Linked DNA regions of Anolis sagrei. The protein of the gene in region 1 interacts with the protein of each later gene in a pairwise test. Links are inferred from orthologs where the notes say so. Each region holds a gene or a part of one and is shown in the gene's direction. Other genes may lie near its edges. The genes, in order: transducin-like enhancer protein 1, TK1, transcription cofactor HES-6-like and FOXA2.

The links.
Region 2: the proteins of transducin-like enhancer protein 1 (region 1) and TK1 interact in a two-hybrid assay, tested with the Homo sapiens proteins (2 studies listed by BioGRID and IntAct). The link is inferred for Anolis sagrei from reciprocal best matches to the Homo sapiens genes TLE1 and TK1.
Region 3: the proteins of transducin-like enhancer protein 1 (region 1) and transcription cofactor HES-6-like interact in binary tests that used the Homo sapiens proteins (3 or more experiments, as listed by UniProt). The link is inferred for Anolis sagrei from reciprocal best matches to the Homo sapiens genes TLE1 and HES6.
Region 4: the proteins of transducin-like enhancer protein 1 (region 1) and FOXA2 interact in a two-hybrid assay, tested with the Homo sapiens proteins (2 studies listed by BioGRID and IntAct). The link is inferred for Anolis sagrei from reciprocal best matches to the Homo sapiens genes TLE1 and FOXA2.

The regions. Positions count from the first base shown.
Region 1 is NC_090022.1:227,808,715-227,816,276, reverse strand, and holds the start of transducin-like enhancer protein 1, read left to right. Parts: upstream 1-4,558; 5' UTR 4,559-5,258; coding exon 5,259-5,330; intron 5,331-7,562. UniProt on the Homo sapiens protein: Transcriptional corepressor that binds to a number of transcription factors. Inhibits NF-kappa-B-regulated gene expression. Inhibits the transcriptional activation mediated by FOXA2, and by CTNNB1 and TCF family members in Wnt signaling.
Region 2 is NC_090022.1:128,418,847-128,425,932, reverse strand, and holds the start of TK1 (thymidine kinase, cytosolic), read left to right. Parts: upstream 1-4,080; 5' UTR 4,081-4,212; coding exon 4,213-4,278; intron 4,279-4,563; coding exon 4,564-4,595; intron 4,596-6,859; coding exon 6,860-6,973; intron 6,974-7,086. UniProt on the Homo sapiens protein: Cell-cycle-regulated enzyme of importance in nucleotide metabolism. Catalyzes the first enzymatic step in the salvage pathway converting thymidine into thymidine monophosphate.
Region 3 is NC_090023.1:229,029,141-229,036,222, forward strand, and holds the start of transcription cofactor HES-6-like, read left to right. Parts: upstream 1-4,075; 5' UTR 4,076-4,385; coding exon 4,386-4,463; intron 4,464-4,579; coding exon 4,580-4,666; intron 4,667-6,449; coding exon 6,450-6,534; intron 6,535-7,082. UniProt on the Homo sapiens protein: Does not bind DNA itself but suppresses both HES1-mediated N box-dependent transcriptional repression and binding of HES1 to E box sequences.
Region 4 is NC_090024.1:140,313,622-140,320,668, reverse strand, and holds the start of FOXA2 (hepatocyte nuclear factor 3-beta), read left to right. Parts: upstream 1-4,027; 5' UTR 4,028-4,086; coding exon 4,087-4,173; intron 4,174-7,047. UniProt on the Homo sapiens protein: Transcription factor that is involved in embryonic development, establishment of tissue-specific gene expression and regulation of gene expression in differentiated tissues.

The DNA.
Region 1 (7,562 bases):
CTCAGGTTGTTTTCTACACTGTTTTTACAATCTCTTCTGAAGCCCTAATGAAGTGCAGGGACAGGAATGTGGTGGCTTGATGGCACCATAGCAAATCTTCTCTGAAAGGGGAGGACAGGATTCCAATAATGATTGGAGTGCAAGTCCCAGCATTCCCATTGCAGGCAAAGGACAATGGGAGCTCTGGAGTCATTCCTGCCCTGGCCTATCTACACTGTATAATTAGTGCAGTTTAACAGCCATGGCTTTGTATTATGGAATCTTGGGATATGTAGTTTGGTGAGGTACCAGCACTTGTTGGCAGAGAAGGCTAAATGCCTGTAAAACTACAGCTCTCATGATTTCACAGCACCGAGCCATGGCAGTTAACATGGTGTTAAACTGCATTCATTCTATCTCAAAATGCATTCATTCTACAGTATAGACGCACCCTAAGACTTTGTTTACCTTTGCAAGTTCTTCAAGGGGTGGGAGGATCAACACAGCGCCTGGACAGGGAAGCTTACAAAGGATGAGTCAGTCTGCACTGAGATTTAATTTTAATCCCTTAAAAGATAGTCCTTTAAAAGATAATCCCTTTTAAAGAAAACAAGGCCATGGACTAGTTAAGAATCTCTGACGAGGTCGTCTGCCTGAATATTCGAGAAATGTAGTTTCTTGTTTCTTCAGAGTTAATAATAATAATAATAATAATTATTTATTTATTCCCTGCCACCATCTCCCAAAAAGGGACTCACGATGGGTTACAAGCACACAATGGTGCCATACAACATATAAAATACAATATAGCAAAATTAAAACCAGCAACACATTTAAAACGAAACATATAAAAATAACAAGATCAATAGAATCAATAAAATATAGCAATGGTCATTAATTAAAAGATCCATACAGCCAATTTAGCCTTCCCTGGTAAAAGATCGTGGTCTGGCTGCAATCTTAAAAATAGGCCTAATACTATACAACTGCTGAAAACTCTATGTTGACGATATTAATATTGAAATATAGCAAAGAAAGAAAGAAAGACAAATACAGTACAGACAAACTGAATGTTAGCACACTTTTACAGTAACATACATACATACATGCATTTTAATGTTTATTTAAAGTGTGATTTCTTCTATTTTTTGTCACTTGCTTAAAAGTTCAGATTGAGAGTACTGGTTAGCTGAGAGTATGCGAGCATTTGTATTATAAATACGAGTGTGTGTGTTTATGTGTACATGTATATATGTGTGTATGGACCCCCTGGTGCCGCAGTGGGTTAAACCACTGAGCTGCTGAACTTGCTGACCAGAAGGTTGGCTGTTTGAATTTGGGGAGCAGGGTGAGCTCTCGCTGTTAGGCCCGGCTTCTGCCAACCTGATTTCTTCTCTTTCCCTTAGATCCATACGAACTCTTAAAAGACTCCAGCAGCTGCAGTGATCCTTAGATCTGTGAACACTTTCAATCAGTCCTTTGTTTAATAGCAAACAATTGCTCATGTAGCTATTTAAAAGTTATTATTATGCAGAATATTTAGCTATTACTGAAATAAGCATGATCTCTGAATTATGACCTTCTATTCTGTATGAAGGGGCTATGGTGGTGCAGCAGGTTAAACTGCTAAGCTGCAGAACTTGCTGACCAAAAAGTCAGTGGTTCAAATTCAGGACGGGATGAGCTCCCGCTATTAGGCCCAGCTTCTGCCAACCTAGCAGTTCTAAAACATCCAAATGTGAGTAGATCAATAGGTACCACTTCAGCAGGAAGGTAATGGTGCTCCATGCAGTCATGCTAGCCACATGACCTTGGAGGTGTCTACAGACAACTCTGGCTCTCCGGATTAGAAATGGAGATGCGCACCACTCCAAAGGGTAAAGGGGAAACCTTTACTCTCTCTCTCTCTCTACACACACACACACACACACACACATATACACATATACACATACACACTCCTACCTGGATAGTTTGAATCATGTGTTGTGTTCATTGTATTTTAATCTCTGCTCTGTGTATTTTTAATATTGGCATTTTGCAGAAATACATTTTAATATGTGTATTTTATATAATGTTTGTGATGATTATGTGTTTTTAGCTATGTTGTAGCCCACCTTGAGCCACGAGGAGAGGTGGATAAGTAATAAAATGGTGATGATAATGATTATTATAATTATATGGGATGTTAGGTTAGATCAGACATAGGCAAACTTCAACCCTCCACATGTTTTGGACCTGCTGTTAGGAATTGTGGGAGTCAAAGTCCAAAACACCTGGAGGGCTGAAGTTTGCCCATGCCTGGTGTATATGTATGTACAGTAGAGTACATTATTATAGTATCATTATTACAAGATTAAAGTGGTGGTCAGTAGCCAGTCCTAGTTCACAACACATTGGTTGCCAGTCTGTGGCAAAGGACTAGAGAAAAAGAAACCCAAAATGCAACAACAATAATACAGTAGCAACCTGTACTACCTTTTCATGAAGGATTAGTTGAATCAGCCCTGGAAGACCCAAAAGAATATATTTCCAACAAGATACCCTCAAGCAAAGCAGCACATACAGTAGAGTCTTGCTTATCCCACGTAAATGGACCAGCTGAACGCTGGATAAGCGAAAACGTTGGATAATAAGGAGGGATTAAGGAAATGCCTATTAAACATCAAATTACATCAAGATTTTACAATTTAAGCACCAAAACATCATGTTTTGCAACAAATGGACAGAAAAGGCAGTTCAATATATGGTAATATTATGGAGTAATGGCTGTATTTATAAATTTAGCACCAAAACATTGCAATGTTTTGAAACAGCGGTGGATCCGGGTGGGAGGCAGACTGCGTTTTATTTATTTATTTCCTATATTTATACCCCACCCTATATTTATATCCCCCCGAAGGGATAATACAGAACGTTGGATGAGCGAAGGTTGGATAAGCGAGACTCTACTGCAACTGTTCTCAAATGAGCTTGTTCAATTATCAGGAATTCTGGGAGTTGAAGGCTCAAACAGTTGGAGGGCCGCAGTTTTTAGGAGGAGCCTCCCCAGAATAATGATCCCATTGCACTTTGTCCGCCAAAGCACTTAATATTTTTTAGGTCTGCTTGTATGTTTTCCACAAACGCCCCATCACTTTTTGCGCCCATATTCCAGCATTATTTTCAATTTTAATTTTACATTTGGCCTTCCCATCGTTTTTAATCGTGTGGTCTTATTGTTAATGTTGCATTATTGTATTGTCCATGTTTTTTATTTTAATTGCTTGTATTGTTGTTATTATTGCTTGTATTGTTGTATTTGGGCTTGGCCTCATGTAAGCCGCACCGAGTCCCTTGGGGAGATGGTAGTGGGGTACAAATAAAGTGTTATTATTATTATTAGTTTGAGGATGCCTGCTCCCAGGCATGTGGGGGGGGGGGGGGGGGCCTCAGGGGGCTTCAGCCCCCCCCCCCCCCCGGAAATTCTCATGGTGGTTCGCAAAAAGGCCTTACTGGTGCATTATTTAAACTGTTATGTTTATTGATATCATGATCTGATCACCATACTCAATATATCCCATATGCATGGGGGTACTGAAGTAACGATACAAAAGGTTTGCTAGGGTAGACCCTCTTTCACTCAGACTCAGCCTGAAAAAAATTCAGCCCCCCCCCCCCCCCCACGAAATCCTGGCTACGGGCCTGCCTGCTCCACTATATATATATATATATATATATATATATATATATATATATAATGAAAGTATATATAAATGTATAGGTAAAGGTATTCCCCTGACATTAAGTCCAGTCATGTCCGACTCTGGGATGCGCTGCTCATCTCCATTTCTAAGCCGAAGAGCCTGCGTTGTCCATAGACACCTCCAAGGACATGTGGCCAGCATGACTGCTTGGACCGCCGTTATAAATATAAATGTGTTCACAGAGAGAGATATATATGTAAACGGGGCCTCATTCCTCTTGGTGGCCCTCTGGTTCCTTCTGACAAACGGAAGGGGAATCTCTTCTGCCTCCTTTCGTCCTTCCATCCGCTTAAACAGGGCAGCCTCCACCTGGCTCCTCCAGCCCTTGCCTGTCCTGGACCAGGGATGCATTATTTATCTCCCTGTGTTATTTCCACAGATTTCGAGAGAGAGAGAGAGAGAGGGAGCCGGGCAAGGTAAAGGAATAATAATAATAAAAGAGAAAGCGGGGCGGAGGTGGAGGGGAGGAGGAGGAGAGCCCCATATAGTCATCTCTTTCTCTCTCCTTCTCCTTCTTTCTCTCTCACTGCCCCACGTTACTTTGATTGACACCTCCGCCTCGCCACTCTCCTTCTCCCCGACCTTCCCCTGTCTGAGCGTTCCACCGCCTCCCATTGGCTCGCTCGGAGGGGTCCTGCCGCTCAGCCTCGCTCAGCCTCGAAAGCCTTCCTCGGAAAAGGAGGAGGGGCGGGGACAGAGTCGGGGCGAAGGGGGCGGCGTTGAGTTGCCAAAGCGGCCCTCTCATTGGTGTCCCGTCACAGCCCCACGTTGGTACCCGAGCACCCCATTGGCTGCGATCCGCTTTCGGGGCGGGGCCGAGGAGCCTGGTTAGCTCGAGGAGTGTGAAACCGCGTGTTAATGTAACCAGCGCGGGCGGAGGAGACGTTGGGTGCCGTTTATTGAGTTGCGTTGTCCCGCGGAGTTCTTGCTCTCCCTCCCTCCCTCCCCTCCCCCCTTTTGTCCTTTTCTATTATTTCGGATCTATTTCGTATCTGATTCCCTTGCTTTGGATGTGTGTTTCCGAGGGAACGAACTTGAGGGAAAGAAGAAGAAGGAGACGAGAGAGAGGAGCGGCCCGACGGGGATGAGGCGGCTTCTGCTCCTGCTGCTGCTGCGGCGCCTTTCTCTCCTCGCTTTGGGATAATAACCCCAGTGTGGCCTCGGCCTTGCCTTGGACGGCGCGGGGCTTTTGTTTGGTGGTTTGGAGCCGTGTTGGGAGATCCTCCATATTTGATTCCTTCGGGGAAAGAAAGAAAACAAAACAGCCTCGCTTTTCGTCCCGTTTCCTGGCTTGTTAAGTTGGAGCCGAAGGCAAGGCAAGAGAGAAGGAAAGAAGGAAGGAAGGCCGCGTCTCGCTCTCTCCGGGTTCGAAGCCCGCTCTGGGCCTCTTTTCCCCTCTTGAAGGAAGGAAGGAAGGAACAAAGGCGCCGGGAGGATGCGGAGCCGCAGAGGCTGAGCGCCAGGGCTTCGCTTCGGGCCTGAAAACTTCGGAAGGAGGAGGAGGACTTGGGGAGCTGCCTTTCCCCCACAGCCATGTTCCCCCAAAGCCGGCACCCCGTAAGTGGCCCCCGCTCTCCCCACCAACACGCGTGTCTTCTCTATAATGTAACGTATATCCTAACTACCCTTTACCTCTGGGATGGTGATGGTGGTGACTGATCATAATATTATTGTGCGGGCAATGCTTCCCGTAGAAATGGATAAGCGCGCATGAACCTTGGAAACTTCAATCCCTTTGAAACATTATGGGTCCTCCCTCCAGGGAGTTTTGGACTCGGCCGAGGGGGAAAAGGAAGGGGCCTGAGGCTGTTAGGAATGGTGGGAGTTGGAGTCAAAAACTCCTGGAGGGAGGGCCCAAGTTGGACCATGCCTGGTGTAGATGTGCCCCGAGAAAACTACAACTCCCGGGATCCCAAGCTGCATTCACAGTGTAGAATGATTCACCCATTGGGATACTAAAATATCCCTCAACTAGTGTGTGTGTGTGTGTATCACCCATTGGGATACTAAAATACCCCCAAACTAGTGTGAGATATATATATATATATATATATATATATATATATATATATATATTATATGTATATATATGTATGTATGTGTATATGTATATATGTATAGTATGTGTGTGTATCACCCATTGGGATACTAAAATACCCCCCAAAGTAGTGTGCATATATATATTACCCAAACTAGTGTGTGTGATATATATATAGTATAAATATCAGGCATGGACAGCATTCATAGAATCATAGAGTTGGAAGAGACCTCATGGGCCATCCAGTCCAACCCCGTGCCTAGAAGCAGGAATATTGCATTCAAAGCACCCCTGACAGATGGCCATACAGCCTCTACAGTGTGGAATGATTCACCCATTGGGTTACTAAAATGCCCCTCAACTAGTGTGTGTGTATAGTATATATATGGTGTGTGTGTGTATATATATATAAGGCATGGGCTTCATTCACTCTACAGTGTAGAATCAGTCACCCATTGTGATACTAAAATACCCCCAAACTAGTTTGTGTGTGTGCGCGCGTGTGTGTATAGAGAGAGACAGAGAGGGAGTGTACATACATTATCAGTCATGGGCTACATTCACTCTATAGTATAATGACTCACCCATTGGGATACATACTAAAATATCCCCCAAACTAGTGTGTCTCTGCATGTGTACAGATAGAATACACACATAGTATATATATCAGGCATGGGCCAGTTTGGGCCCTTGGTGTGTTTTGGACTTCAACTCCCACAATTCCTAACAGCCTCAGGCCCTTTCCTTTTCCCCCTCAGCCGCTTAAGCAAGTGGGGTTTATCATCTATCTATCTGTCTATTTGTGGAATAATGTCTAGGGTGCTTAAGCGGCTGAGGTGGAGATAAGAAATGGGCCTGAGACTGTTAGGAATGGTGGAAGTTTGAGTCCAAAACCCCTGGAGAGTCCAAGTTGCTCCAAGTTGGCATATGCTATGGCATTATATAGATGTGGTATTGGAGCAGGTCACTCGAATGCTTAATATTTGGTTGGGAATTGTTTGGTGGGGGGATTTTGAAACATTGGACTGCTGAGAGATCTTGGAGGTGGGACCCAAAGCCTGAACATGAAATTAATTGCTGTTCCATACATATGCACTTAGTCTGAAGTTACTTTTCTATGCAGTGTTTTGTATTTTAAAATGGAGGTAATTTTCTATACAATATTTTTTGTGCATGGAACAAAGTTTGGGTATGCCCGAGGCACCCAGAAGCAAAGGTGTCTGTCACTCAAGACACCCGTGGGATGTTTTTGGAGTTTGGAGCATTTCGGATTTTCTAACAAGGGATTCTCAATCTCTATAACATTTACTCTTCCAAATAACAACGACAACAACAAATCTTTATTTATATCCTGTTTTTCTCCCTCACGGGACCCAAAGTGGCTTACAACATATTACAACGTATAAATGCATTTACTTCGCCTTTAAACAAGCACTTTAGTTGCTGTGATGTCGAAGGCTTTCATGGCTGGGATCACTGGGTTGCTGTGGGTTTTCCAGGCTGTAGGTCCATGTTTCCGGAAGCATTCTTTCCTGACTATTCCAAGGCTATTCAGTGCTAATCAAGGTGGCCAATTGCAACATGCACACTTGCCTCCATAAGATGAGAGTTCTTTTCTCCCACCCTGGACATTACTCCACAGATATATAAACCCCACTTGCCTTGTTTCCAACAAAGCTCACAACAAGCTCACAACCTCTGAGGATGCCTGCCATAGATGCAGGCAAAACGTCAGGAGAGAATGCTTCTGGAACATGGCCATGCAGCCCGGAAAACTCACAGCAACCCACTGTAGCTGC
Region 2 (7,086 bases), about 99 Mb from region 1:
TCTGTAATCTTATATACCTTCACACACTGGAAATTGCACTAAAAAGAACCTATGCTTTAAAATCATTGAAAAGTCATTCATGATATATGTAATTTTAGATTTTATTTAGTCTCACTCTTATTGATGATAGTTTTCATAAAGTGTTTGCAGTTTTGAGCAGAAGATCCTCATCCTTATTGATTACAGGCTAATGATAAATAGAAGTGGGTTCATCCGAACCAGGAAAAACTTGGAAAGCTGTGCAAGTTAATTAACAGTTTTCATAGAATCATAGAATCATAGAATCAAAGAGTTGGAGGAGACCTCAGGGGCCATCCAGTCCAACCCCCTGCCAAGAAGCAGGTATATTGCATTCAAATCACCCCTGACAGATGGCCATCCAGCCTCTGCTTAAAAGCCTCCAAAGAAGGAGCCTCCACCACACTCCGGGGCAGAGAGTTCCACTGCTGAACGGCTCTCACAGTCAGGAAGTTCTTCCTCATGTTCAGATGGAATCTCCTTTCTTGTAGTTTGAAGCCATTGTTCCACGTCCTAGTCTCCAGGGAAGCAGAAAACAAGCTTGCTCCCTCCTCCCTGTGGCTTCCTCTCACATATTTATACATGGCTATCATATCCCCCTTTATTTGGTTTCTAAACAGGAATGCAACTGGCCACCAATTAAAAGGATGCAAAGCTTATGAAAAAAATTGCAATTGGACTATTAATTGGAACAGTAAATATATGTATTGTTTGTGTTTTATAGTTTTTAAGGAGTGCAATAATAATAATAATAATAATAATAATAATACATGACTGGTAAAGAACAATTGCTCTAACACAAATGAAAGCAATATATGGTATAAAGTGTAAGATTTATTGTATAAAGGGTATAGAAAAAATAAGGATGAAATGATGTTTTGAATCAGATCAACCAAGTGATAGAAGGAAAGACACAGAATACAACGGATGAAGAATATTGAGCTTCAAATAGAGAAGTACAGCTTTGGTACATGGGATTACTGCCGGATTGCAATTAAGTATATTTGACCAGCTGAATCATTCCTTGGTTGCTTTAATGAAAGCTAAAAATGAAACCTTACAACAAATAAGTAAGTCTATGAGTTGTTTGACTATGGAAATAAATTTGAGAGATTGGAGAGAAAAATGTTGATGTTAATAATGGGAGGACACTCAGAAGCCTTCCTAGAATTAACAAAATTACATTATTGGTTAAGAACAGATTATAAAGGATGGAGTAAGCTTGTCAAATATTCTTGGGAAGATGATATACTAAGATTGAAACTGGAAACCTTGGGAAAAATGGTCAATATTTGAAAAAAATTTGGTTTGTGATATAGTTCCTATGCCTATGCATGTGGGAAAATGGTTCTGGGTTCCATATTTGTTATCCAAGAAAACCATATGCACAAGGTCCAAATATACAAATTTGAATGAAATAATTGATATTGATAGATGCAATAAATGGGATATGTATGTCCTTTAACAGTAAAACAAGTTGAACCATGTGCATTGGAAATGGCAGATGCAATCTGCAGGTTACAAAAGCTAAAGCCCAAAACAATGGTATATGACAATGGAATGTAATGCCTATGTGCTATATCACCTAATGATTTATATTGGTGGAAACACAGAACACCACTGGTATGATATCTTCATAGGATACATTTAATAGTATGGATAGGGATACTTATATTGCTGCCAATCATTTGGATCTTATGGCCTCTTAGACAAATGACAGGATTGACAAATCGATTATCTATATTTGAAAACAAGTTAACGTGTTTAGAAACACATTTATGAACTATGATGTTTGATTAATCATACAAGTTCAATATTAACCTAAACATATGTACTCTACACTTAATCAAGTTTGATTATAAGTATAACCAACACTGAATTGCTTATCATGTATGGATCATGTATGTGATACGATAAATTAGCATTTATGTATCAAGGGGAGGAATATGTGAGGAATGAATGTTTGAATGCATGGAAAAGAGAAGAAACAGGCCTGAAGAAAAACCAACATGGAGTTCTCGCAAGGCATGATATGGGATGAACTTGGCAGTCGAAGCGAGGAGGCAGCAAGGCATAACTGAACAACAATGGACAATGAGGTATGCGGCCGAGCATGTAAGGAGTGCAGGAGGTACCCCATAAGTCATGAGGCCTGGAATGCTAATGTCTTGAACTTTGGAGAGAACAAAGACATATTGTCCTTTAGTAAGAGGACAGAGCAACCTGCTGTTGAAATGAAGAAAAATGGATTTTGGCCTATAAATGCAGGGGACCCCTGACAATCTCCATGCTTCCTGAACTGCAGCAATGGAGTGTCCACGCTTCCTCAGAAAAGACTGATCATCTTTGCCGGAGAAGGCCTGTGTGTGCATGAGTATGAATGAATGTGTGTGTGCACGAGAGCTCTCCTTGATGTATTTTCCCATCATCATGAAGATGTGTGATAAGTTCACCACAAGTGCGGTTCCCACTTCGTGGCAATTGGTGGTGATTACAAGAATGCTGGGGTATCATAAAAATGTTATAACTAGATATTGATCTTGCTTCAGCTTCTGTATGATCAGCTTTCGCAAAAAAAAAAATAATGGAGGAGTGAAGGGGCTAACAGAACTCAGAAATGTTGAAATTCTAAAATGCAAACCTAGAGAGGGGTTTGTGCCTCTCCTCTGGCCTGCAGAAGACCAAAAGCTAAGAGGAGATAATGAATCTGGAAGACACAAGATACTGTATTGTCAAGTTCGCCTAGAGAGTACTCAGGGTGGGTTAACACCCAAAATGCTTATCTGTAACAATAATGTGTGTGTTTACGTAGTTTGTAGAAGGTTAGCAGTGAAAGACACTGAAGTGGCAAAATATGAGAAAAACATGTTTTTGAATGGTTGATCCGATAAGAGAGGTGTGTGCCCATGACACAGTGAAAAGACATGTATATAAGGAGACTGAAATATCCAAATATCAGAGACAGCTCTCTTTGAAGACACTGGTCTGTCTGGGCTGTTTCTCCCTGTGTGGCCACACTTGAAATAAAGAGATTTTCTGCTTTACCTCTGGAGACTAGACTCTCTTCATTTTGCTGCCCTCTGTGACGGACTCAGCAAGGACCCCAAGCAGGGGGTCCCCTACATGAATATTTCAGCTGACCACCTTTATTAGCATTTAATGGCTTGGAAGTGCCTGGGGGGAATCTTTTGTTGAGAGTGATTTGATGTGCCTGGTTGTTTACTCTCTGCTGTTTTGCTGTTGTAATTTTTGAGTTTTTTAATACTGGTAGCCAGATTTTGTTCATTTTCATGGTTTCTTCCTTTCTGTTGAAATTGTCCACATGCTTGTGGATTTCAATGGCTTATCTGTGTAGTCTGTGTAGCACTTCCAAGCCATTCAATGCCAATCAAGTTGAAACATTCAGTTGAAACATTCACACCTAGCTCCAGCAGACAAAAGTCCTTTGTCCCACCCTGGTCTTTCCACAGATATATAAACCCAGTTTAGTATTTTCAACAGACCTCACTACCTCTGAGGATGCTTGCCATAGATGCAGGCGAAACGTCAGGAGAAAATGCCTCTAGAACATGGCCATATAATCCGGAAAAACCTACAACAACCCAGTGATTCCGGCCATGAAAGCCTTCGACAATACATTTTAGGCTTTGAACCCACTTTAATATTTTTTTTCGTGTGAGGAGCGACTTGAGAAACTGCAAACCACTTTAACTACTAAGGAATAGTGTGATTTGTAGTTTGGCAGGAAAGGCTAAGGCCTTGGAAAACTACAGCTCCCAGGATTCCATGGTATTGAGCCGGGGGTCAAGCTGTTTCATTCTATGAAGATGAAAGTCTCCGCAAACAAAGGAGAAAATGACGTTTTGATAAGACCAAAGAGTTTCAAAAGACTAGTTCCGGAAGTGTGTGTGTATGCCTCTTCCCCAATCAGCAAAACATGAGAGGAGGAAGACTTCCCTCTTTAGCTTCTGGAGGCGAAGGCGGTCAACCACTTCGAATGTAGTTTTTTCCCGCCTGGCCTGTGATTGGCCAGGACGCGCCGAAGTGTCTTTCGAGCGCCAGTTTGGTGCCAGGGCCCGTTCTGATTGGTCCATTGTCAGCGCCGGCTATAAAAGAGGGCAAAAACGGCGCGCTGAAAGGAGAGGCTGTTGATTCAAGCGTCTGTGCCTTGAAACACCGGCGGGATTTGGGAAGATGAACTGCTTGATGATGCCAGGGGTGCAGCCGGGGTCGCCTCGCAAGGCCCGGGGCCAGATCCAGGTAGGAAAAGGAGATATTTCTGGGGAGGGCAGGGGGGTCAATGAGAGTTTGGGATGCAGGGTCTGCAATTATGGGTCAGGGGCTTTATAGACAATGGAGTGGGGAAATTGTGTCCTTTATATAACGTTGGGAAAATCAAGGCATCCTTTTTTTGTGACTGGTTTTATATTTTCAAGCCGTGGATGGGGAAATCAGTGGATACAGAAACCGTGGATAAGGAGGACCAACTAATACACGAACGGGGTAAAATTCAACACGGTTTTTTTCTCTCTTTCCCCACTTTAGGTCATCTTTGGACCCATGTTCTCCGGGAAAAGGTATGTTAGAGAGATGAAATGAACATGTATCTGAACACAACTGTGACTTGGGTTCTGGTTTCATTACATGTTCAAGTACTATCAATTACATTTACTAGTGTTCTCATGATAATCCCTCAGGCTGGATCTACACTGCCATCTAATGCAGTTTGGAATTTCATTGCATGGTCAATATATACCAGGCATGGGCAAACTTTGACCCTCCAGGTGTTTTGGACTTCAACTCCCACAATTCCTAACAGCCAGTAGGCTGTTAGGAATTGTGGGAGTTGAAGTCCAAACTACCTGGAGGGTCAAAGTTTGCCCATGCCTAGTATAGACCCAAATAATGTGGTTTAACTACATTAAACTGCATTGTATGGTTCTATTCTGATCATATAATGTAGATCCAGCCTCAGTGAGCTTTAACTGTGAATTCCTGCACAGCAGAAGTTGGACTAGATAGTTCTTGCCTGCACTTTCATAAAATGCCACAGAAGGTGGTAAAGTCCAGGTTTTTTGGATTACAGCTCCCTATATTCCTGATAGGAGCATTGGGAATGGAAGTTCAAACTGTTGTCGAAGGCTTTCATGGACGGAATCACTGGGTTGCTGTGAGTTTTCTAGCCACGTTCCAGAAGCATACTCTTCTGATGTTTCACCTGCATTTATGGCAAGCACCCTCATTGGTTGTAAGGTCTGTTGGAAATTTGGCAAGTGGGGTTTATATATCTAGAATAATGTTCAGAGTTGGAGAAAGAACGCCTGTCTGTTGGAGGCAAGTGTGAATGTTGCAATTGGCTACCTTGATTTGCACTGAATGGCCTTTCAGCTTCAAAGCCTGGCTGCTTACTGCCTGGGGGAGCCTTTGTTGGGAGGTGTTAGCTGGAATTCCTGCCTGGTATTCCCCTGCTTTGTAGGTGTTGCTCTTTATTTGCTGTCCTGATTTTAGAGTTTTTTTAAAAATTTTCATAGTTTCCTCCACTCTAACGACCACCATGTCAGGCTACACAGAGAAGCTGCTGAAATTCAGTAACAGGTGGACAATTTCAACAGAAAGGAGGAAACCATGCAAATGAAAAAAAAATCTGGCTAACTATACTTAAAAACTCCAAAATCAGGGCAGTAGATAAAGAAGAACACTAACAAAAGAGGGGAATTCCAGATAAGATTCAATCAGGGTGAGGTAACACCTCCAAGTGAGGCAAGTGTGAATGTTGCAATTGGCCACCTTGATTAGCATTACATAGCCTTGCAGCCTCAAGGCCTGGCAGGAAGCAGCCTTGAGGCTGCAATGCTATTTAATGCTAATCAAGGTGGCCAATTGCAATATTCACACTTGCGCAAGCAGACAAGGGTTCTTTCTCCCACCCGGGACATTATTCTGCAGATATATAAACCCCACTTGCCTAGTTTCCAACAGACTTCACAACTTCTGAGAATGCCTGTCATAGATGTGGGTGAAATGTCAGGAGAGAATGCTTCTGGAACATGGCCGTATGGCCAGGAAAACTCACAGCAACCCAGAAGTTCAAACTATTTGGAGGAAACTGATATGGGAAAGGCAAGTCTATAAACTGGCTGTGATATAGAAACCTAGGCAAAAAGGAACCAAAGCATATCTTGATGGATTATATATTTGTTAAGATATGTGCCAGAGTGTGTTTTGAGCCACACTTGGTGGCATCTTTGTTCCCAGGAAGGTCAGCCATGACTCTACTTTTATTTCACTGGCTATGCACTTTCTTTCCTGTAATGCAGGGACAGGTAACTGGTGTCCTTTATATTTGGTTATTTTGGACTAAAACTCCCCAAATTCCTTACTGCTGGGTAGGCTGATGGAAACTGTAAGGAAAGGGGGGAAACCAGAAAATAGCAATAATTGCCTATCTTTCTTATAAAGCTGGGATTGGACTGTGTGCCTGGACTCACATGTTCAGAGTCCAGGCACAGGTAAACTTGGGCCTTCCAGGTGTTTTGGACCAACTTCCACAATTCTTAAAGGCTGTTAGGCTGTTAGGAATTGTGGGAGTTGAAGTCCAAAACACCTGGAGGGCCCAAGTTTGCCCATGCCTTGTCCAGACCTATAATGTTGCTGTTTCTCTGATGGTAAAATTGTAAGGAATGCCGTTAATCAAAGGGCCTGGCAGGGAGATCGATTTGGGGAGATAGCAGGCATTATGGGTTTTTTGAGGCAGGGTGATCAAAGTCACTAGTTTTGTGCTTCAGTCCTCCTCCTCTGGGTGCTAAGTACTCCTGAGTAGCCTCCCTTCTTGTTTTTGCAGTACCGAACTCATGCGCAGAGTCCGACGTTTCCAGATTGCGCAGTACAAGTGCCTGTTGATCAAGTACGCGAAGGACATGCGCTACAGTGTCAATGGAGTTTCCACGCATGACAGGTGAGGCGCTAAAGGCATTGTATATACAGTTCACCTTAACAGAAAGAAAATTCAAATGTAATTCTTTTTGCTTGATCAAAAAACAACCGTGGGTACAAAATACATGTATGTTG
Region 3 (7,082 bases), on another chromosome or scaffold:
TCCCAATACCTCCATGCATATGGGACATATTGAGCATGGTGATCAGATCATGATATGAATAAACATAACAGTTTAATTAATGTACCAGTAAGGCCTTCTTGCGGACCACCCTGAGAATTTGGGGGGAGGGGGGCTGGAGCCCCTCAAGCCCCCCCCCCCCCCAGCTACATGCCTGATTATATATGCAAATTGGAAAATCCCAGATCTTCATAGGATACTGCTATGCACGAATGTAGCCTAATTGTCTTTCTTGCTGTTCTATAACTCATGACTTCGTACGTCCCAGGGCATTAATGACAATGAGTGTGCCATTGTTGAGAAACAATCATGTATCTCCCTATAAAAGAGTAGAAAGAGCGCTTTTCAGAGGGGAGAAATGATATTTATTCATAGGAACAAATACACACAACCCTCTTTCCCCCTGGGATATTTCTAGAGGGGAAACAATGCTGGTTTGGTTTTTTTGAAAATTTGAAAGAGAACTTCCCACAAAGAGCAGCAATTTAATTTTTTAACTGCTGCAGTAAAAGAAGAGTGAACTCTAGGAAGAGCTTGCTTTCTAAGCATTCATGGGTCATGTTAATGGACTCTGTGAATGCAGTGTTCAATGGGCTCTTCATGATGCATTCAAAACAGCTTTTGACTGTGCCAGTTTTCTATTCAGGAACATGGCATGATGTAGTGGTTTGAGTGTTGTACTGGGATTCTGCCAGACCAGGATTCAAATCCCCTTTTGGCCATGGAAGCCCATTGGATAACCATAGGGAAGTCATACTCTCTCAACCTCAAAGAGAGACAAAGGCAACCCCCTTCTAAATGGATTCTACCAGGGAATTCCCATGATACGGTTCACTTTAGGAGTACCATAATTGAGAAATTATATGAATCATAGAATCATAAAGTTGGAAGAGACCTTATGGGCCATCCAGTTCAACTCCCTTGCCAAGAAGCAGGAACATTGCATTCAAAGCACTCCTGAGAGATGACCATCCAGCCTCTGTTTAAAAGTTTCCAAAGAAGGAAACCACACTCTGGCAGAGAGTTCCCCTGCTGAACGGCTCTCACAGTCAGGAAGTTCTTCCAAATGTTCAGATGGAATCTCCTTTCTTGTAGTTTGAAGCCATTGTTCTGCATCCTAGTCTCCAGGGAAGCAGAAAACAAGCTTGCTCCCTCCTCCCTATGACATGCCGTCACATATTTATACATGGCCCTCATCATGTCTCCTCTCAGCCTTCTCTTCTTCAGGCTAAACATGCCCAGCTCTTTAAGCCGCTCCTCATATGGCTTGTTCTCCAGATCCTTGATTATTTTAGTTGCCCTCTTCTGGACGCATTCTAGCTTGTCAACATCTCCCTTCAACTGTGGTTCCCAGAATTACTGATACACTGATATCAGTGTATCAGTAGTATACTGATATTGCCACTTGTATGATGGAACAGAAGAAAAATGGAGTGTGACCAAAGATAATGTGAAAAATTGGACACATTCCAGCTTGTCAATATTGGACACAATATTCCAGGTGTGAAGATACACAGCAACAGTACAGCAATATACTATTACTTTTACACATTCATGCTTTCACTGTTTGAGAACGAAAATAGCCCAAGATCTCAAATAGGTACTTGCCCCTGCTGAACGCCTACAGAACAGGAATGCACAAACTTGGGCCCTCCAAGTGCTTTGGACTTCAACTCTCACTAAGGAAAGGGCCTGAGGCTGTTAGAAATCGTGGGAGTTGAAATCCAAAGCATCTGGAAGACCCAAGTTTGCCCATGTCTTGTATAGACTATAATTGCATTTTTAAATGAAAACAGATTAAGAAATGTCAGTACAGTGACTAAAAAAGGCCCTAAAACAAACAGGAATGTTGTGGCTAGGTTTGTTCAGAGGGAGGTTGCCCCTGCCTTCCTCTGAGAGAGTGTGACTTGCCTGAGGTCACCCAGTACGTTTTCACAGCAAGCAGGAATTTAAACCCTGGTCTCCAGAGACACAGTCCAATACTGATGTTGGCTTTCTTTTGATCATGATCCCTTTTCGGGATGACATATAACAGGGAGTTTCCTTTTCTTTTGAGGCTGAAAGAGTATGGCTTGCCCAAGGTCATCCAGTGTCTTTGCATGGTGGAGTGAATTTCAACCTTACTCTCCAGTTCTTCTATGTCAACTGAGAAAATTAAAGCAGTTTAACACCACTTCAACTGCAAGTCACTTCTAGAAGGTTCAGGAAGTTTCATCTACGCTGACGATTCCATCACTGCTCAAGCAGAGAGTTTTGAAATGGTTGAACAGAAGCTCTCTGAAGCTTTAGGTGGTCTTACTGCCTATCACAGGGAAAACCAGCTGATTACTAATCCATGTAAAGCATCTTGATCTCTGTGGATTACCTGGGAAGGAATCCCACTGGAACACTGCAGCACACCCAAATACCTGGGAGTTACTTTGGACCATGCTCTGACTTATAAGAAGCAGTGCTTGAATATCAAGCAGAAAGTGGGTGCTAGAAATAATATTGTAAGAAAACTGATTGGCACAACCTGGGGATCACAAACAGATACAGTGAAGACACCTGCCCTTGCGCTTTGCTACTCTGCTGCTGAATACGCATACCCAATGTGGAATACATCGCACCACATTAAAGCAGTGGATGTGGCTTTTAATAAGACATGCCGCATTATCACAGGATGTCTACGTCCCACAACACTGGAGAAATTATACTATTTAGCCAGTATTGCACCACCTGGTATCTGCCGGGAAGTAGAAGCCAGCAATGAAAGGACCAAGGCAGTGACATCTCCAGACCATCCTCTGTTTGGGTATCAGCCAAGGTGATAACCTGCATTAATTCTACAATAGATGCACCCCTAATTTGGCTTGCTGTGAGTTTTCCGGGCTGTATGGCCATGTTCCAGAAGCATTCTCTCTTGAAGTTTCACCCACATTCTATGCCAGACACCCTCAGAGGTTGTAAGGTCTGTTGGAAATTAGACAAGTGGGGTTTATATATCTGTGGAATGTCTAGGGCGAGTGTTTTTTTTGAGGCAAGTGTGAATGTTGCAATTGGCTAGCTTGATTAGCACTGAATAACCTTGCAGCTTCAAAGCCTGGTTGTGCTTGCCTGAGCTCAATTGTTTACCATGTCAGGCTATTGGCTGTATGTATGGTGGGATACAAAGATTAAGTTATCATCATCATCATCATCATCATCAATCAGGGCCAGCTAACACTTCCCAGGAGCCCCTGGTGGCACAGTGGGTTAAACCACTGACCTACTGAACTTGCTTACCGAAAGGGGTGGGGTGAGCTCCTGCTGTTAGCCCAACTTCTACCAACCTAGCAGTTCAAAAACATGCAAATATGAGATCAATAGGTACTGTTCCGGTGAGATAACGACGCTCCATGCACTCATGGCAGCTACATGACCTTGGAGGCATCTGCGGACAACTCCAGCTCTTCGGCTTAGAAATAGAGATGAGCACCCCCCTCTCCCCCAGAGTCGGATACGACTGGTCCTAATGTCAGGGGGAAACCATTGCCCCTAACACCTCCCAACTAAGGATCCCTAGCTAGACTTTGAAGCTACAAGGCTATTAAATGCTAATTAAGGCGGCCAATTGCAACAGTCACACTTGCCTCAAGCAGACAAGAGTTCTTTCTCCCACCTTGGATATAAACCCCACTTGCCTAGTTTCCAACAGACCTCTCAGCCTCTGAGGATGCTTGCCATAGAGGTGGGCAAAACGTCAGGAGAGAATGCTTCTGGAATATGGCCATACAGCCCGGAAAACTCACAGCAACCTAGTGATTCCGGCCATGAAAGCCTTCGACAATACAAACCCTTATTTTTTGTTTATAGAAAGCGTAAGGGCAATCCAGGCAGTCATGCCGGCCACATGATCTTGGAGGTGTCTATGGACAACGCCGGCTCTGAAACGGAGATGAGCAGCACCAACCCCTAGAGTCGGACACGACTGGACTTAATGTCAGGGGAAAACCTTTACCTTTACCTAGAAAGGGTAAGATGGCACGGTATTTCCTTCCCTACTCAAGCCCCTCTTAGTCTTCCTCCTCCTCCCAAGCCTCTCCGAACGCCCTAAGCAGACAAAGCGCCGGGCTCCCATTGGAGGATCCTCCCAACGTTCGGTGCGCCGCGTCCAATAGACTCATTGATATGCAAATCAGAGCTGATAAATACGGCTTGCAGGGGTTGGAAAAAAAAGAGGGGCGGGGAGTAAGCTGGAGGCGAGCCGAGGAAAAAAGGAGCCTCTTTGCGGACGGCCTCCCACTCTCCCCGCCCATTGCCGTCATTACTACGCTCCGCTCTCCGGATTTGGGTTTTTTCCCCCTTCTTTTTTGGCCGCACTGTCGCCCGAGCCCCGCTTTCGGACCATGACGCCCTCGTTTCGGCCCAGCAAGAGCCGGGAGGAAGAGGAGGAGGAGGATGTGGAGAGGAGAGGAGACAGAAGGGTGAGCAGGCAGAGAAAGGGAGAGAGAGGGGTTTGGAGGGGCGCCTTGCCTGTCCCACCGTCCACCATTGGGGTGTCACTTGCCTGTGTTGACTCTCCTCTGTCCCATCTTTCCAGGCGAGGAAGCCGCTGGTGGAGAAGAAGCGCCGGGCGCGGATCAACGAGAGCCTCCAAGAACTCCGGTTGATCTTGGCGGATACGGAGGTATGGCCCTTGAACAGAGGGAGGGGGGGCAACTTGGGGCCTTCCAGGTGTTTTGGACTCCAACTCCCACCATTCCTGACAGCCTCAGGCTCATTCCTTTTGCCCCTCAGCCGCTTAAGAATGTTAGAATGTTGAGACTGGCCAATCAGAAATCACATGCTAATTAGTAGGTAGAGATAGCTCATGCATGGGCCAACTTCGGCCCTCCAGTGTTTTGGACTCCAACTCCCACCATTCCTGACAGCCTCAGGACCTTTCCATTTGCCCCTCAGCCACTTAAGAATGTTGAGGCTACCCAGTCAGAAACCATATGTAAATTAGTAGTTCGAGATAGTTCATGCATGGACCAACTTAGGGCCTTCCAGTTTTAGAATGTTGAGGCTGGCCAATTAGAAACCATATGCAAATTAGTAGGTCGAGATAGCTCATGCATGGGCCAACTTGGGCCCTCTAGGTGTTTTGGACTCCAACTCCTATCATTCCTAACAGCCTCAGGCTCATTCCTTTTGCCCCTCAGCCGTGTAAAAATGTTAGAATGTTGAGGCTGGCCAATCGGAAACCATATGCAAATTAGTAGGTAGAGATAGCTCATGCATGGGCAATCCTGAGCCCTCCAGATGTTTTGGACTCCAACTCCCACCATTCCTGACAGCCTCAGGCTCTTTCCTTTCCCCCCTCAGCCACTTAAGAATGTTAGAATGTTAAGGCTGGCTAATCGGAAACCATATGCAAATTAGTAGGTAGAGATAGTTCATGCATGGGCCAACTTAGGGCCTTCCAGTTTTAGAATGTTGAGGCTAGCCAATTAGAAACCATATGCAAATTAGTAGGTTGCGATACCTCGTGCACGGGCCAACTTCAGCCCTCCAGGTGTTTTGGACTCCAACTCCCACCATTCCTGACAGCCTCAGGCTCATTCCTTTTCCCCCTCAGTCACTTAAGAATGTTAGAATATTGAGGCTGGCAAATAGAAACCATATTTGGCGGGAAAGAGAGAGGGGGCCTTCTCTGTGGTAGCCCCTCGGCTATGGAACACCCTTCCTGTGGATATTAGATCGTGTTTTATATGCTAATCTTTTTAATTGTATTTATATGTTGGGGGGCATTGAATTGTGCCGAATGTAAACTGCCTTGAGTCGTCTTCGGGTTGGGAAAGCGGTATATAAATACAGTTAATAAATCTATATAAATAAAAATGTAATGTTCGTTTATGGGATACCTCAAAAACCACTGGATGAATTGACACCAAATTTGGACACAATACACCTATCAGGCCAACAAGAGACCATCACTCATAAAAACACTGAAAAACACAGCAGAAGAGACTTACAAAGCCAAAAAACCCAATACAGCGCATGCACAAAACCACATATATACACAGGCACACATATATACACAAATATATATACACACATATATATGCATATATACACACACAAAATACATATTCATGGACTAGGCCACAGCAACGAGTGGCAGGGGACAGCTAGTAAAAAACAAATATGCAAATTAGTAGGTAGAGATAGCTCATGCATGGGCCAACTTGGACCCTCCAGGTGTTTTGGACTTCAACTCCCACCATTCATGACAACCTCAGGCTCCTTCCTTTTCCCCTTCAGCCGCTTAAACTGGTGGGTGTTGAAGTCCAAAACACCTGGAGGGCCCCAAGTTAGCCCATGCCTTGTTTAGTGGGTGGCAAAGGAAAGGGGCTTTGATGGGTCTGGGGAGGAGGAGGATCACACTGCCCTTCTGTCTGTCTTTCTCTCTCTCTTCCCAATCTTAGTTCCAGGCCAAGATGGAAAACGCCGAAGTGCTGGAGCTGACGGTGAAGCGGGTGCAAGGCATTCTGCAGCAGAGCAGGTCTCCAGGTGAGAGATGTCTCTATTGCCCGGCTTTCAAGGCTGGAATCACCGTGTTGCTATGAGTTTTCTGGGCTGTATGGCTATGTTCCTTAGAGGCATCATCTCCTGATATTTCGCCCACATCTATGGCAGGCATCCTCAGAGGTTGAGAGGTCTGTTGGAAGCTAGGCAAGTGGGATTTATATATCTTTGGATTAATGTCCAGGGTGGGAGAAAGAACTCTTGTCTGGTTGAGGCAAGTGTGAATGTTGCAATTGGCTACCTTAATTAGCATTTAATGGCCTTGTAGCTTCAAAGCCTAGCTGGGGATCCTTTGTTGGGAGGTGTTAGGTAAAGGTAAAGGCTTTTCCCTGACATTAGGACCAGTCGTGTCAACTCTGGAGGGTGGTGCTCATCTCCATTTCTAAGCTGAAGAGCTGGCATCCATAGACACCTCCAAGGTCATGTGGCCGGCATGACTGCATGGAGCGTTGTTACCTTCCCACCGGAGCGGTAGCTATTGATCTCCCATTTGCATGTTTTCGAACTGCTAGGTTGGCAGAAGCTGGGGCAAA
Region 4 (7,047 bases), on another chromosome or scaffold:
CCATGGTCTAGAGGCATTCTCTCCTGACATTTCGCCTGCATCTATGGCAAGCATCCTCAATGGTAGTGAGGTCTGTTGGAACTAGGAAAAATATTACTTACTGTTAGCATTAATGTTGAATGTTATACCTATTTTATATACCTGGGGTCACTTAAAAGGGGTCAGGAGTGGAAAAGGTTCAGTAGCCCTGTCCTAGAGGTTGCCCAAAGCATTGCCAGAGCAACCACCCAGGTATGCTGCTCTTGGACATAGAGGCTCCATTCAGGTTTCTCGACTAACTGGCTGGTCATCCCCAGAACCAGTACCTATTATCTTCTATCGAATAATCCGCGTCCACGCTACTCTCTCCTCCCCTATCTCGCACCGAAGACGGTTTTTAGAACTTCATCAAACTATAGAATGAATCCACTTTAAATCCGGTTTCTACCTCCTGCAGAATTCTGGGGTGTGTAGTCTAGTGAGGCTGTTAAAGGCTCCTTCCTAAACTACAAATCCCAGAATTCTGCAGGAGGCAGCAACCGGATTTTAAATTGATTTATTCTCTAGTGTGATGAAGAGGCATCCTGAAGACAATGGTGGGTAATTATTCTGATAGAGTCATACCATTTCCAGGAGGTGGGGCGGAGAGAGAGCCGCAAAAACAGCATCTTCAAGACATGGGATTTTCCCAAAGCTCTTGAAACCGAAGCACGGAGCCCTTCGCACATCTGAAAAGTTTATGCCCAACTTTTCAAAGAGCCGGCTCCATTTCAGTGGAAGGACCTGGCCAAACCGCCTCTGAGTATTTAAAACCCTATAGAATTCACTTAAACAGATGGGTGACTTGAAAGCACACACACACAATGTATTTGAAGCTGCCACAGTACTGTGTTTTTAGTGTGATTATTATCAATTGTTCCTCTGTGAGGCATGCTGGCTCTGGGTAGTGAGCTGCACTTTCCCAGGTCTCTTCAGAGTTTATTATTTTATATTGAAAGAAAAAAGTCAATGTTCCTCCCTCCCTCCCTCCCTCCTCTTTCAGGCCTGATCTGAGCACTTGCAAATGCTATGGCTTGTAATAAGTTAATTGGGAAAGGAGCTGGTTGACATCACCAACATCATGAGCATCAAATTAACCCTTTTAAAGTAACTGATAGCCGCCTTCCAGACAGGCCCTATATCCTAGGATCCCATCCCAGGTTTTCTGCTTTAAACCGGATTATATGAGTCCGCACTGCCAGATAATCTGGGATAAATAGAAAACCTGGGATCAGATCCTGGGATATAGGGCCTGTCTGGAAGGGGGGGGGGGGCATCAGTTATTTTAAAGGAGTAAATTGGGACTCATGATGCTGGTGATATCAACCAGCTTCCTTCACAATTAACTTAGTACAAGCCATAGCATTTGCAAGGGCTCAGATCAAGCCTGAAAGAGGAAGGGCCCTGAGTCTACTACTTCAAAGTGTCTGAATAAGTAGGAAAAGTGCACCCACAACTCCTTTATCTTCACTTTTACAGGGAAACAGTGTGGCGTAGAAGCTTGAGTGTTGGACTATGAGGAGGAAAGTTAGCCATAGAAACCCACTGGGCAACCTTGGGCAAATTATATTCTCTCAACCCCAAGGATAAACCTGCTTTGAATAAACCTGGCCAACAAAACCCTGTTGTAGATCGGGGTCAACACACCCTGTACTGTACTGGAGAGTTAGTGGTTTGAGTGTTAGTCCCAGGAGCCCTGGGTTTGAATCTCTGGCCCCATATAAAATCCAGACAATCTGATTTGAACTGAATTATATGGTAGTCATAATCATCATCATTGGGGATAACTGCGAGTCTGAGTAGGATGGACTTCCAAGCATAGGGTTGTGGCGTGGGTCCATAGGTGACTGTGGAGACCTATTCTAGACCTGCGTGTTCTTCCACAGTGAATACAATGGTTTCCAGATGGAAGGCGGTTCTGTTTAGCACTGTTCCAGTGCAAAACCGATAATCCGGATTATTTGCCTTGAAAATCTGAGGGTCCTTGCAGAAGGCACTATATCCCAGGATCCAATCCTAGATTTTCAGCTTTATATGAGTCCACGCTGCCAGATAATCTGGGATAACAGAAAACTTGGGATCCGATCCAGGGATATAGGGCCTGTCTGGAAGGGCCCTGAATTATATGGCAGTGTAGAAGGGGTCTCTGTCAGCCTTGAAAATCTCTTAGCTCAGGACTTCTTCAACTTTTCCACTCTGGACACCAAGAAATGTTTATGTGACCCCAGGGAATATATAGATATATAAATAGGTATAGGAATATATATATATAGGAATATATAGATATATAAAACCCTAACATTGACGATAGTATTTGCAAGGCTTACTAAACAGGCCGGTTTCCTTTTTATGAAGTACAGCTCAAGCATCTGCTGCAGAGTCCACTGGAAACACAGCACAAGGGATTCATGCCAGTGCCTAAAACAGCCACTAGGTGACAATTGAGAAAAGTTTGACAATTGCCAAATGTTCTTGGGACCTGAACATTGAAAATTAAACTGTGGGGTCAGGACTGGGAAGGGACCTAAGGCTCTTAGGGCCCTTACATACATCCCTATGTTCCAGAATATCAAGGCAGGAAATCCCACATTATCCAGACCCTTGATCATTCTTAGTCGCCCTCCTCTGGACACATTCCAGCTTGTCCACATATGGTGCCCAGAATTGGACACAATATTCCAGGTGTGGTCTGACCAAGGTAGAATAGAGGGGTAGCATGACTTCCCTGGATCTTGGCACTAGACTCCTATTGATGCAGGCCAAAATCCCATTGGTTTTTTTGCGGCAGCATCACATTGTTGGCTCAAGTTTCATTTGTTGTCCATGAGGACTCCCAAGATCTTTTTCACACCAGAGTCCCCCATTCTGTATCTTTACATTTCATTTTTTCTGCCTAAGTGGAGTATCTTGCATTTGTCACTGTTGAACTTCATTTTCTTAGTTTTGGCCAATCATCTCTCTAATCCAGGGGTTCTCAAACTAAGGGGAGGGAGCGGATATGGCCCTCCAAGGCCCTCCAAGGTAATTTACCTGGCCCTTGCTCAGGGTTGTGTGTTTTCAAGTCTGAAACTACTTGAAAACACACAACAACAACAACAACAACTCTATCTCATCAGCCAAAAGCAAGCCCACACTTCCCATTGAAATACTAATAAGTTTATAGGTATTTGTTAAAATAGTTCTTCATTTTAATTATTGTATTGTTTTTAAGTGTTTTTTGCACTACAAATCAGATATGTGCAGTGTGCATAGGAACTCGTTCGTTTTTTTCAAATTATAATCCGGCCCTCCAACAGTTTGAGGAACTGTGACCTGGCCCTCTGTTTAAAAAGTTTGTGGACGCCTGCTCTAATCTGTTAAAATCGTTTTGAATTCTGCTGCTGCCTTCTGGAGTACGGGCTATCCCTCCCAATTTGGTGTCTCCCACAATACTGGAATATATGGCAGTGTGGACTCAGATAACCCATTTCAAGACAAATCTTGTGGAATTTTGATATTCTGAGACCTAGGCTTGTTGGGAAGGGCCCACAGAAGAGGGGAAAGGGGAAAGGGGGGCGAGGGAATCCCAAGGCAGGCGGGGATCTGCTGCTTATTCAAATGGCTGGGTGAGGACCTGGGGATTGGAGGCTCGCTTGGCCGCCGGCCGCTATATCTCTCCGGCGCCCACGTCACTGCAGCACTTGGGTTCCTCCTCCTCCTCCTCTTCCTCCTCCTCCTCCTCCCTCCCTTCTCCTCCTCGCCTTTGCCTTCGGCTCTGGGCGACTCTTCCCGGCGAAACCCACCCAAGCAGTAGCCGAAGCGGCAGCAGCAAGGCGTCGAAATCGCCAGCAGGGAGAACCCCCAAAGCTGAGCGAGTTCGCCCCCCTCTTTTCCCCCCAGATCGAGGGAGGGAGCAAGGAAGGGAGGGAGAGAGAGAGAGAGGGAAAAGGAGGGAGGGAGGCAAAGAGGGAGGGGGCTGTTTTCCTCTCTCTCCCTCTCTCTCCCTCTTTTTTTTGGTGGCGCTCTCTCTCTCTCCCTCTCTCTCCCCCTCCGTCGCCGCTTGTTGTGGCTGTTAAATTTTAAACTGCCATGCACTCCGCTTCCAGTATGCTGGGAGTCGTGAAAATGGAAGGACACGAGCACGCGGAGTGGAGCAACTACTACGGCGAGCCCGAGGTAAATGGCAACGCGGGTCTTGTTTGCGCGCGGATGTGCCTCTCTCTCTCTCTCTCTCTCTCTCTGTGGGTCTCTCTCTCTGTGTGTGTTTGTGTGTGGGTCCCCCACCCAATCCCCAAGCCGCCTCCTCCTGCGGAAAAAAACACACAGGACTCCCTCGCCGCCGCTCTCCCTCGCCCGCTTTTTATACAACGCGGTGTTAGCCTTGAGATAATATTAACTTTGTGATCAAATATTGACTTGCGAAGCCTCCAAATCCTTTTGCCATGCCTAGCCGCGCTATCCTAACAAAGTTGTGTTTGGCAGACAGAGAGGTTGGGTTTGGGGATGGGGGGGGGGGGGGGGAGGAAGGGCATGGGGGGAGGTAGAAGGAAACGGGGAAAGCGGGGGGACGAGGGAGGATGGCCAACCTCGAGCGGGGAAGTCATCAAGGTGGAAGGGGAACACTTCCCACCTGAACTTTCTCCTTCGCCCCACAAGGACTTTTGCCCGATATCCTACATTTTCCAACATCCTGGCGGAAAAGTTTCACGCCACTTCCACTTCGGTTTGAAACCCAATCCTCCAACCCAGTGGATAGAAAGGCACATCGGAAGGCAACTTGCCGTCTTAGATCCGGCTCGCTGTGCTAACATTACACACTTGGGAAGAGTAGACTCTCCTAGTCCAGCTGGAAAAACTGCAGCTTCCGTTTCCTTCTCCAATTCTAAACACATGGGAAAGAAGTCCCATTGGTCTCAGATGCCCTTCCTTCCCGGTCAACCTGTTTTTTAGGTTGTAGGTTTTTGCGGGCTATATGGCCATGTTCTAGAGGCATTCTCTCCTGACGTTTCGCCTGCATCTATGGCAGAGGTAGTGAGGTGTTTTCTCCTTAGCAAGGTGCATTAGGGATCTTAACCTAGGGATCTTAAGCAAGGTGCATTAGGGATCCCTAATGCTTCTTCCGAAACCTATAAACCAGCTTTTGATGTTTCCATCTGATTCCTTTACCCCCTCCCCCCCCCCATCTTCCCAATCTCGATCCTAAACATTTAATAGGCGACCTCCCACTGAAAAAAAATTGAGATTTAAAACGGGAAGAGTGGGAACCCAAGCTATTAAGAAAACTGGAATCCCACTTAGGTGGGATTAACACCCAGGTCCTATTCTTTCACGCTTTCTTTCATTCTGGATGAACGCTGCCATATAATGCCGTTTCGGAATGCAGATTAACTCACTGCATTGAACTGGATTCTATAGCAGTGTAGCTTTAGATAATCCAGTTCAATGGCGTTAATCTGCAGTGTAGATCCAACCCTATACTGTCATATAATACCAGCCATAGATTCTGACCAATAATGTAGTTTGAACATTAAATGCTCAGGGTAGAACTATATGATGCTGTTTGAATTGCAAGATATATGGGTCTACCTTGATCATTTAAATTGCATTATTGGCCAATGGAGAACCAGCCTCAATTAGGTGCCTTTGCGGACCAGAAGCTAACTATGGACACGATCCAGGCACCTTTTGGCATTTAATCGAGAGAGAGAGCCCTTCTACACTGCCATATAAAATCCTTATCTGCTTTGGAACTGGATTATATAGCAGTGTAGACTCATATAATCCAGACAATGTGGATTATCTGTTTTGGTCATCTGAATTATAGGCAGTGTAGATCCAGAAATGTTGACGATTTCTGTGGGGCTTCTCAGCCAAAGGCTTGGCTGAGAAGTATATTGACCATGACATACAAAATTTGTGTCGACACAAACAATCTGAAACATTATAAATATTTCATAGCTAGGATATAAAGTTATATTGTGGTATGTAAACTTCCATTCATATCACAATTTCTAATGTTTTTTAAACAAGTTGTTTCTAAATCTTGAGATCTCAGAGTTGCATTATTCAATATGTTAGGAGGGCTTATGCTAGGAGAGCAAAAAACATTGAACAACCAATTTCTCTTCATATAAAGATGCTGCCATTGTCTTTTGGAGCCAGCTTTAGTTTGGGGTTTCCTGATCCCCTTCGCTCAGTGTTGGGATCACCCAAAATTTGGCAACAGGGAAAAGGTTTCTGAATGCCACCCGTACACACCAATTGGACGTGCAGGCTGTGTAGTGAACTCTGCAGACAATGCTTCAGCTATGATTCACCAAATAGAAAGTCAGGAGCCCCCATGGCGCAATCCCTTTGCGGAGGTTGAGATAGGAGAGGGTATAAATGTCCATAATAAATAAATAAATAAACCCTTGCGGAACCAGGGAGCAGGGTGAGCTCCCGTATGTCAGCACCAGCGTCTAATGGGGGGACATGAGAGAAGCCTCCCACAGGATGGTAAAACACCCCCTGGACAACGTCCTTGCAGACGGCCAATTATCTCACACCAGAAACAACTTGTAGTTTCTCAAGTCGCTCCTGACACATACAGGCTGTTTAAGCAAGCCTTGCGAATGCTGTTGATTATTATCACTATGTCACAAAATTTGCAAAAGGTTCTGTTTCTGGTTTTAGAGTGTTGTTTCCTGTTTTATTGTACGGCACTACTTACTTGGAAAGCAGTTGTTATACTCGAGAAACTTCGGGTTTGTGTCTGCCGCAATCTAGGCTGAATTGGTTGTGACTCTAATGAGTATTCATTGAAAAATAATCCAAGGTGTGCTGCAGGATGTCCTGCAAAAACACAAGTTTTTGCAATTTAATATGCTCTTCCTATGTTTTTATGATAGAACCGATTAGGAAAGATATTGATAGTTCAGGAAGAACAACAATATTATAATAATAATAATAATAATAATAATAATAATAATAATGTATTGTCGAAGATTTTCATGGCGGGAATCACTGGGTTGTAAGTTTTCCGGGCTGTATGGCTATGTTCCAGAAGCA